Schizosaccharomyces pombe: one gene and its partner. Changing the gene in region 1 together with any one later gene gives a genetic interaction. Each region holds a gene or a part of one and is shown on either strand. Other genes may lie near its edges. The genes, in order: thi1 and thi5.

Evidence for each region.
Region 2: of thi1 (region 1) and thi5, extra expression of one rescues a mutant of the other (dosage rescue), as found in Schizosaccharomyces pombe (one study listed by BioGRID).

Annotation. Positions count from the first base shown.
Region 1 is NC_003424.3:3,210,160-3,215,242, forward strand, and holds thi1 (DNA-binding transcription factor Thi1), read left to right. Parts: upstream 1-1,713; 5' UTR 1,714-1,819; coding exon 1,820-4,147; 3' UTR 4,148-4,350; downstream 4,351-5,083. Other genes in the region: ribosome biogenesis protein Nob1, read left to right, coding at 159-1,123; cell end marker Tea3, read right to left, coding at 4,531-5,083. UniProt on the Schizosaccharomyces pombe protein: Transcription factor that activates the nmt1 promoter. Regulation of thiamine repressible genes. Positively regulates conjugation during meiosis.
Region 2 is NC_003423.3:3,694,438-3,699,643, reverse strand, and holds thi5 (DNA-binding transcription factor Thi5), read left to right. Parts: upstream 1-1,938; 5' UTR 1,939-1,949; coding exon 1,950-4,523; 3' UTR 4,524-4,680; downstream 4,681-5,206. Other genes in the region: G1 cyclin Puc1, read left to right, coding at 1-71; SPOM_SPBP8B7.31 (acid phosphatase), read right to left, coding at 607-671, 725-844, 920-1,171, 1,230-1,311; abz1 (para-aminobenzoate synthase), read right to left, coding at 4,925-5,206. UniProt on the Schizosaccharomyces pombe protein: Transcription factor that activates the nmt1 promoter. Regulation of thiamine repressible genes. Negatively regulates conjugation during meiosis, by inducing negative regulators which delay conjugation. Involved in thi1 regulation.

The DNA of each region.
Region 1 (5,083 bases):
TTATTCTGTGCACAGTCATCTCTGAGAAGTGAAAGCAAGGTGGGTGAAAAAGCTTAATCATATTGGAATTTGATCGCTTTCTTACACCTGCTATTCTTTTCAACTACTTCCATCATAAATACTTTGATTCTTGGTAGCAGCTTTCTAACAAACTATAGTTTCCGAATTTGCAAAGCAAACCGGTGATTACTCCTCACTCTCTGTAACCGATATTCAAATTTTGGCTTTGACTTATGAGTTAGAAGTCGAGTTTAATGGTGGTGACTGGAGACTTCGCAAGTATCCTGGTCAAAAGCATATCAATGGAAAACCCCCTAGTAATTCAAATTCTACTGAAGATGCATCTAAACCCACATCAAGCGATACAGCTTCTGTAAAAGAAACTGAGAACAGTGATCCTAAATCCGCAGAGAACGAAGTCTTGGAAGGTGAAACGACACAACATTCCAATAATAAAGAAGCACATCCGAATACTGAAGAAAATAAAGAGCAAGAAGACAATGAGGAAGATGATGAAGATGATGGATGGATTACTCCTTCAAATATTCGCAAAAAGAAAGCTGAGGATGGCGTCGGTGAAAGCCTTGTTCAACCCAAACATCTCAAAGTCGCCTGCGCTACTACTGATTTTTCGATGCAAAATGTCTTATTGCAAATTGGGCTAAATCTAGTTTCTTCAGATGGTTTCAAAATTCAAAATGTTAAGAGATTCGTTCTCCGTTGCCACGGATGCTATACAGTAGTGAAAGACATGGAGAAAAAATTCTGTCCTTCCTGCGGTGGTAACACGTTAATTAAAACCACGTGCAGTATCAACTCTAAAGGTGAATTTCAAGTGCACTTGAAGAAGAATTTCGAGTGGAAAACCCGAGGCACAAAATATTCCCTTCCTAAGCCAGTTCATGGTACTTCAAATGGTAAAGGAAAGAAAAATCCTGTTTTACGTGAAGATCAGCCTGAATATCAACGTGCTGTACGCCGCATGCAGCGAAAGAAGGAAATCGATCTTATGGATGAGGATTATCTTCCCTCTCTGCTTACCGGTGTTACCAAAGATCGAATGTACGTTCAGATAGGAGCTGGAAGGAAAAATCCTAACGAGGTCAGAAGAAAAAAAAGGTAGAGATTGGATTGGTTTTAATTTACTTATGTCGCTTTCTAGTTGACATGCTTACATATGGTGTTTAAGCAAACTTGCAAGCATTTTTAAGAACGTACAAGGTCTTTTATTCAAACATGCAATTTGCAAATGGTTTTTAGGTCTAATTTTTTGGTGTTTTTTTCTAAATAATAAAATCGTTTATTATGTTTCAATGATTAAAAAAACTGCAATTATGATAGTGTTTGAACTGAATTTATTTTTCCTGAAGAAATTTTTAACGTAGAAAGCTTGTTGCTGTTCAGTTGTATATCTTGTACATTGAGTGATGGGTAAACGTAGATTTTATCATCCTACAATTTAAGACGATTAAAAGCTACAATTTAGTTTAGATTGGTTTCTTTTTTGGATACTGGAGAATACCATCAAAAATGTTTTAGGAAAGCGATTAAACCGCGTTAACACAGATTACTGCATTATTCTTAATGGTACATTATTTTGACGATTTCATTTGCACTAAACCACTTTAATCTAAAGCGCGTTAGGATTAACAGTGAAGCTTAACAAAATTTTATTTTCCAAGCAAAGTCGCATATTCTCTTCCACTACAATTTGACGATTTCTTGGTCCTAAAGCAACGATAATTTACTAAATTTTGGGATTTCTTTAGGATTGAATTGTATTAGGGATTTACTGAAATGTGGTTGGTATTCTAGAGAGATGAATGAAGAAATAGGATTTTTAAAAAATCAACTTTTTGCCGATGTTAAAGATTTGGAGCGAAAAAAGAAAAGGCGGGTACCTCCAGAGCAGCGACGACGTGTGTTTCGAGCATGTAAGCATTGCCGCCAGAAAAAGATTAAATGTAATGGTGGTCAGCCATGCATAAGTTGCAAAACGTTAAATATCGAGTGTGTTTATGCACAAAAATCACAGAATAAAACATTGTCGCGTGAATACCTAGAAGAGTTATCAGAAAGACAACTATGTTTGGAATACATTTTCTCTCGAATGTGCCCAAATTTCAACCTCGAAACCAAAAATTTAATTTCGATATCCAAAAAGTTATCTGAAAACGAAAACTTGCCTGTGTCAAAAATAGCTGAAGTTACAAATGAGCTAGACACATTAGTACGAATTAATGATCAGCTAAGCAGAAATCATATAAGTGGAACTACGGAAGAAATGCAATCATCATCTTCCTTAATTGCAGGTGAGGTACAGCCAGGCATTTCGTTCAGAGATCAACTCAAAGTAGGGAAACTTGAAGATACGCTTTATCTTGGACCAACAACCTCTGAGGCGTTTATTGAACGTTTGCAAAACGAATTGGAGCTTGAATCAATTTCTGAAGACGATTTGTATTCCAAGCGTTTATCACCTTCCGTCTCATATTCCGAATTTGATGAACAATTACTTTTACATGCAAGAAGCTTGATCCCTTCCAAAGCTGTGGTTGAATTTTTAATCAATTCTTTTTTTATCAACGTCCAAACCAATTTGTTTGTTTATCATCCCCATTTTTTCAAATGTAGATTAGAGATTTTTTTAGCGATGGAAAACCAAATTGATGCTGGATTTTTGTGCATTCTACTTATGGTTCTTGCTTTTGGCAATCAGTATACGGCAGAACAACAGGAAGATGTCAGCAAGTCGAATTTTCATGCCTCCAACATTGGTAACAGATTATTTTCAGCTGCGCTGAGCATTTTTCCACTCGTCCTTTTACAATCAGACGTTAGTGCAGTTCAATCTTCCCTACTTATTGGTCTGTATCTTCAATCTACCATTTATGAAAAATCTAGTTTTGCATATTTTGGTTTGGCGATCAAATTTGCGGTTGCCCTAGGACTTCACAAAAACTCTGATGATCCTTCTCTTACCCAAAATTCCAAGGAATTGAGAAACCGATTGTTGTGGTCAGTTTTCTGTATTGACCGTTTTGTAAGCATGACTACTGGAAGACGCCCTAGCATACCTTTGGAATGCATTTCTATACCTTACCCTGTTATATTGCCCGATTTAGAAATACCGGGTTCTCAGTCTATCGTCGAAAACATGCGTGCCGTTATTAACTTGGCTAAGTTAACAAATGAGATTTGCGATTCGCTGTACTGGAACCCTTCTCCAAGCTTTGAATCGCAAGTTAATTCTGTCCGTAGGATTTATGCTCGTCTAGAGCTTTGGAAAAGTGATTTACATTCTTCTGTGGTTTTTGATGAATCGGCTGTTCAGCATCCACTCTTCCGGTCAAATGCACATGTTCAAATGATATATGATAATGCGATTATGCTTACTACGAGAGTTATTATGGTAAAGAAATTAAAAGATAAAGATTTAACTGCTGAAAATCGTCGCTACATCCAGCTATGTGTTGAAAGCGCAACAAGGGTCATAAACATAGCACATCTTTTATTAACACATAAGTGTTTGTCCAGCTTATCGTTTTTCGGGCTGCATGTTCCATTTGCAAGCGCACCTATTTTACTCTTGTCTCTTCATTACGAAAACTCTCAGGATATTCAAGCTGTAGTCACAAAATTATGGCAGGTATTGGAATTTCTGAGTTCAAGGTGTGAATTTGCTAGAGAAAGTCTAAACTACCTTAAGTCATTTAACAAACAGTTATCTAGGCGCAATGCCCCAGACATTAATAATCCGATTGCAGATTTCCAAAATAGTTTTCAAAATTGGCAATCCTGGGTGGGAGATATGTCACATGGAGACATGCTTTCTACCTTTAAGCTTACAGGAGAAAGCTCAAATGGTAGTAATAGTACTCCAAACGAAGCATTCCAACCTTTTGACCAAACATCATCTCTCTATAATGTTCCGGGTCTAAACAAAAGTTATGTTAGTAACCAACCCAGTTTGCTCACACCTGAAACTTTTCTACCGGATCCAGTTCTCAATTTGGAAGTTGATAAACAATGGACGGCTCCTACGTTTTTGAGTTGGACGGAACTGCTAGGCCCTACTAATGTCTCTGAGCAGTCTTCGCATACTGCAGAGCAAACTTCAAATTTGACCCTTGAAAAAAATGGATGAATCTTTAATGGTTTTTTGCAGGTCTTTGTTTGTTTTAATTATTTCTACGTAATTCATCATATGCTTTGTTCGCGTGGTTAAGGAATTAGCATTTAATACCAGTTTAGTAATTTGCACTTGAGAGTATCCTCATCAATCTAATACTTTAAATTTTCTCTTACTTTTTAAAAGTTAATTAAATTTCATTACTTTTTAAAATATAAATGAGTCAATGTAAATGCAGTAGAAATAATTGCGTATTTTATTGTTAAATATAGTGGTAATTTACATACGTAGTCAAACGACTTGAGATTAAGTAGAAAAAATCAAACCACTTCAAAAAATTATTAAGAAAATTGTACAAACCAAAAAAGAGATAAAAAATCCTTAGTTGATGAATAGAGTTACATAAATGAATGACTAAGCTGCTGAAATGACTCATCTGAGCAATTGGCATATGTTATGGCTTTTTGATAATCATCCTCCAGTTGCTTAATACGACTGGCATAGTAATTATCATCAATTGCACGCATTTCTTCACCTGAAAATGAGCCCGCGGTATCATTTAGTTTTGAGCGAACATCATAATAATCTTTAGATACCTGAGGGGACAAAGACAAAAATTTTTGCTGACTGTTGATAACATCAGAAAGTCTTTTATGTAAATCATTGTTATCCGGGGCTTTTGTTTCTTCAGATGTCATCAAATTACCAAAATGATTACGATATTTTGTAAACACACCACCAGAAGGTATGTCAGATTCTTTTGAACTATGTGCAGCACTAGCATTATTGAATGAATCCTCTTCGTTAAAGTATGATCTTAAGGGAGAGGAGGAAGCTGAAAAGTCCGTAGGAAGATGAACGTCAGTAGAGTCCTTTCCTGATAACTGTTGATTCATTTTTGAATCAGCCAATGCAATTTGTACCTCAGAGAGCTTACGCTGAGTAATTTTT
Region 2 (5,206 bases), on another chromosome or scaffold:
AATATCCGGAACAATGCGCAATGGCTGCCTGGTGCAACATGACTGAAAAGGATACTGAGCGTACTTTGTAACTTTAACATTGCTTCTTCTTCGATTTATATATATTGCAATGCTTCTAGACAAACATGTAATGGAGATATAATTTCAAAATTATATATTTACTTGAGAAAAGTAAGTGTATAGTGATGTAATTTTTTTTAAGAATTTTTATAAAATTCATTATATTAATCAATTAAACTACTCTGTTATGTTCTTTGTTTTCCTAAACCGGTTTGCAACTATGCTCATATGACATTATACCGTTTGTATATATTTTTGTTATTTATTTATATGATACTTACTTAGTTTGCAAAAAGAAAAGAGAAAGTTCATAAGAAACCCCATATTACAGATTGAAGCAATTTAGGTCTTTAATAGATTTAATTTCTAAATTTGATTCTTCACCCATTAAAAGTAGTATCAGTGTTTCCCAATTTTAACAATGATACTGTGATTAAACAAAATACATCTCAATTCGAATAGAGACTTCTAAATATAAGTTAAAGCACGATAGTTGTTTTCTTAAGATGCAAGCAAAATTGATTAACTTTTCTTTCAAAAGAAAAATTAACCATGCATATGATTTTTTAGAAATGAAAGAATATTTAGTGAGTTTTTTTTAATTTTCTCCACTTGTTTATACCTTGCTCAAAGGACGCACGATTAAGGCCATCAGGAACTAAACAGAATGTAACACCAAGTCTTTCAACCTCTCTGTTCCTAGACTCATCATCAAAAAACACCATTTCTCGATAGTCAATTCCAGATTCGTTGTGGATCTCTTTGAAGTGATCCATTTTACTACCTATTTCACAATAACTAGTTAGCAATATGATTATTGATATTTTCTGTATTGACAAAAATGTATTAAAAGACATACCTGGCCAAGCTTTTACATAAGTGAAAAATTCGATAGCCGGCTTAAGACTTCCATCTATTGGTACCTTCATCAAATTCAATGCTTGTTTCGCATACTTGGGAGCACAAGTACGGCTAGCAACGCACAAAGTAACTTTTTGGTTCCTTAGCTCTTGTAAAATTCCAGTTATATCTGAGTAAAAACAAATCTCTGTGCCATATTTGTCAATCAAAACGCCTGGGTCATTTTTGGAAGGCTTAAATGGTGCAGTGACTGTGAAACTTTGTTAGAAAATAAAACATAAAGTAGATCAAAGTAAAAGATTTAATACCATGGGTATCTATCCAAAGAGGCCACAGAGTGTAGTCTAAGTCAAAAACAACGCATTTTGGGAATTCGATATTTTTTACCATATTTGCTTGATATTTTATGGTATTGGTTATTAGGTTCGTAAACAACAAGAATGAAAGTCTTTTTAAGAGTGATTTCAAGTTCAAAAGATTGACCGTAACGCTTTCAAGAAGTTTACTGCCAGTTTGCTAGTTCGATAAGATTGACACAATTTTAGTTGGTACGTTGATGTAATCCAATTTTTTTTAAAGAAAAATATATATATTCAACTTTTTTTGCATTAGTAATGAAAAAAACTTAGGAAACAAATGTTTGAATTTCATTAACTTTTATGAATTATTATTATTTAATTTAACTGTCTTTGATATTCTCAATAAACAAATAAACTGATACCAAAAAACACTGTGTAAATACCATGTTTTATAAAATTGATCAAAACTGTATACTACCAAATTACAGTCAATTAATCGTTGTCATTAACATATTCATTTAAACAATAAATTTTTTTACTGCATTTAATACATTTATATTAACCTGGGGACTTGACAGAGCTTACTAGCAAATTTAATTTTGCTGATGCATACTATTTAAAATTGAAGTAGCATTGCTACTTACCACCTTCGGGTACCTGTGACCGACAGCGAAATTGATTTACCTATATGAAAATCTTAAATGTAGCAATTGTTATTATGCGAAGTTTATGTGTCCCTCTGACTTTTCTAGTCGTTCTTTGTTTTTAGAAGCCAAAGAGGAAGAGTATAAACAAAGAAGGCGTGTTCCTTTGGACAGTAGAAGAAGAGTAAGGCGGGCATGTCTGTCTTGTCGGGCCAAGAAAATTCGATGCAGTGGTTCTGAACCATGTCAGGCTTGCATTGCTACGCCTTCGCAATGTAAGTATGCTGATTCTTTAAAAGAGCGTACTCCCTCAAAACAATTTATTGCGGAACTGAGTCAAAGGCAGAAATGCTTCGAATATCTGATGGAATTGCTGTGTCCTTCTCTTCCTCATGACACACGTAGTTTAGTCAAACTATGCAAACATGTCGAATCTTCATTAGCTTCTGGAAGCGACGTTCGTTCTTTGCTAATACCCGGGTCAATTGATCAATCTGTTTTAAAGGTTGCTGCTACAAACAATAAAGACGATTCGTCTGCTGTCAAGTCAGCAAACGTTTCTTTTCCTTCTTCATCTACTCCCCCCTCTTCGGATTCAAATTTCTCATCTATTCAAAACACTGATCTTAATACTTCCATCAAGTTTACTGAAAATATATCTGCTAATGCAATTCATGTGAACCAAGATAAGGTTATTAGAAGTGCCAATAATTTAATAATCAATTCCCAACCCATACTTCCTGTACGTTCATTCTTAGATGCTCTAGGAGAACCCATATATTTAAGTCCGACGTCAAGCACTTATTTTTTAAATTCTGTTTTAGCATCCTTACAGTTAAATTCAAGCAATACCCCAGAATCACTGCTCATTGACTATCAAAGTAAAATTCCGGAGGATCTCTCTTCCTCTTTATTGCCTTTAGAACTAAACACACTTCAATCGACCCCTACTTCAGTATCTGTAGGTTCAGCTTCTTCACAAGGAACTCATGAATATTCAATTATAAATTTGACCTCCAATCACTCATCTTTTTCATTAAAAGCTCTAAAGAAAATAGCACATAATTTGTTACCACCGGTTTCTGTCGCAGAACGTTATGCAAATGAGTTTTTCCTCCGGTATCAAAGTTTTTTTTACTTTTATCCTCCATCTGTTTTTTCTAACCGTTACCAAATCCTTGCAGATGGTTTAGTTAACTCAGATACGTTGGATACAGGATTTCTTGCTGTTGCTCTTTTAATTGTTGTGCTTGGTCACTTCTCAAATAACAACATTAATGTATTGCCCAAGGAAGTTCAGCTTAGTCATATTGATTCAATGATACAGATTTCAGAGCAATTAATTAGCTCTTTATTAAATCGCTGTACCCTTTCTTCTATTCAAGCTGTCTTTTTACTTTCACTATATCATTTTTTAACTGGAAATTTTAAATGTGCATATTCTTATTTAGGTTTTGCAATACATTCCGCGCATACCCTTGGTTTGGAGCATGGTTCAACTGATAACAGCACATTAAATGAAGTTTCAACTGAGGAGACTAGTATTCGCATATGCTGGTCCTTACGTGTTTTAGCCAGTTTTTTGTACATACAGTCTGGAATTACTCCTATCATAAATTTATTTCCAAATGGTCTGAATTCTTTAAAACTTCCTACCGTTGTCCCGGAGCTGGAGGCTCGACATTTACCTTCATCCGTTTTTCATTTTGTCGCTATAATAAAATACGCTGAGATCTCCGTACGGTCTCTAAATTCACTGTATGAATCAAGTTCTGATTATTTGATGGATGTCTCAAATTTTCCTAAATTACTATTAAAAGTTGAAAGAATCTACTCCCAAGCTCGTAATTGGAAGTTAAACTTAACCCATCAACAGCTTAATGGAACGAATGACACTTCAGATCTCCTTTTTCATTCCAACGTTAGCTTACATTTATTTTATCACTACCTAATTGTCAAGGTAAGTTGTCCCATTATGTTTTTCTATTTAAATAATTGGTATTCTGTTAAACCTTCTTCATTTACGAAAGGCCTTAACAATAAACCAAGCTTGGAAGATGTGTTTTCCAATTTGGAAACCTGCTATGAGTCTGCAAAGGCAATTGTTCAGTTATCATCGAAATTGTTATCTGCTGGTCAGATGGACAAGTGTTTTTATTTGGAGTTTGAAATTTTATACTGTTCGGCAATTGTGTTATTTTTATTCTCAGTTATGCACCTTGGTGCAGAAAACCCATTACTTGAAAGTATTTATTTACTGGAAGATATGGGATCACGTACTATCGATTCAAAGGTTCGACTTGAAAAGCTTAAGAGTGCAATCGAAATATTTGATATAAACTCAGCTACTGAAATGCCTATAAACGAGCCATTATCCGCTTCTTTTGAATCAGTCAACAAAGAAAACAGCCAGAGTGGATATATGGCTTGGCAAAATTGGGTTACAGAATTAAGCTCGTCTAACATTCCTTTAGGTCATGCTTTGGGTAATCCTGAGTCGAACAATTCATCTAACTCGTTCAAACCTTCTCATCCATCTCAAAGTTTTTTGGTCAATGAATCACTCGATTTTTCTTCGAATCCTAAGGAGCCTCCATTCCTTCCGTGGTCCGAAGCATTGCTAAATATGGATATGCAATTGAATCGTTTAGGACCATAATGATCTTATTGTTTAAACATAAGTTTTATTTTGAACGTTTTCGTTTTGTTACATATTGTTATACTTATACTTCATTATCATTAATAATGCTAACTCTAAATAAAAACTTTTTAGTCTATAATAATATTTGGACCGCTAGCTATATTGACTGTTCCGTATTTCTTTAACATAGTCTTGAAGTAGCAATACTGCTGATTTTGTAATTTTATAATGTTTTTAAAAAAAATGAATAAACTGTCATTAAAACGCTTCATGAAACTATCAGTAACATCAATTTTGCCGTAATAAAAGTTTTGTTATAACCGATATCTATACGATTCTTGAAGGAAGTGTCAATTTTTTTTTTATATTAGTATTAACGATTGAAAATGAACAAAATAAACAACAGCATCCAACAATAATCATTTACATGATCTTTTTTTATTTTTAAGATTCACAAAAGCTGGTAAGATACTGTTAGCTTTTAAAACCATTTCCTCATATTCCCCTTCAGGCGAACTAAGAATAGTAACAGCACCTCCAGCACCTATTCTCCAATAATCATCAGCTTTGTACTTAAATGCTGATCGGATAATAACGTTGAACTCAGCAGAACCTGTTACATCCCAATAACCAAGCGTGCCAGAATAAATTCCTCGACCATGTTGCTCCAAAGGTTCAAGCATCCTCACGCTTCTTAACTT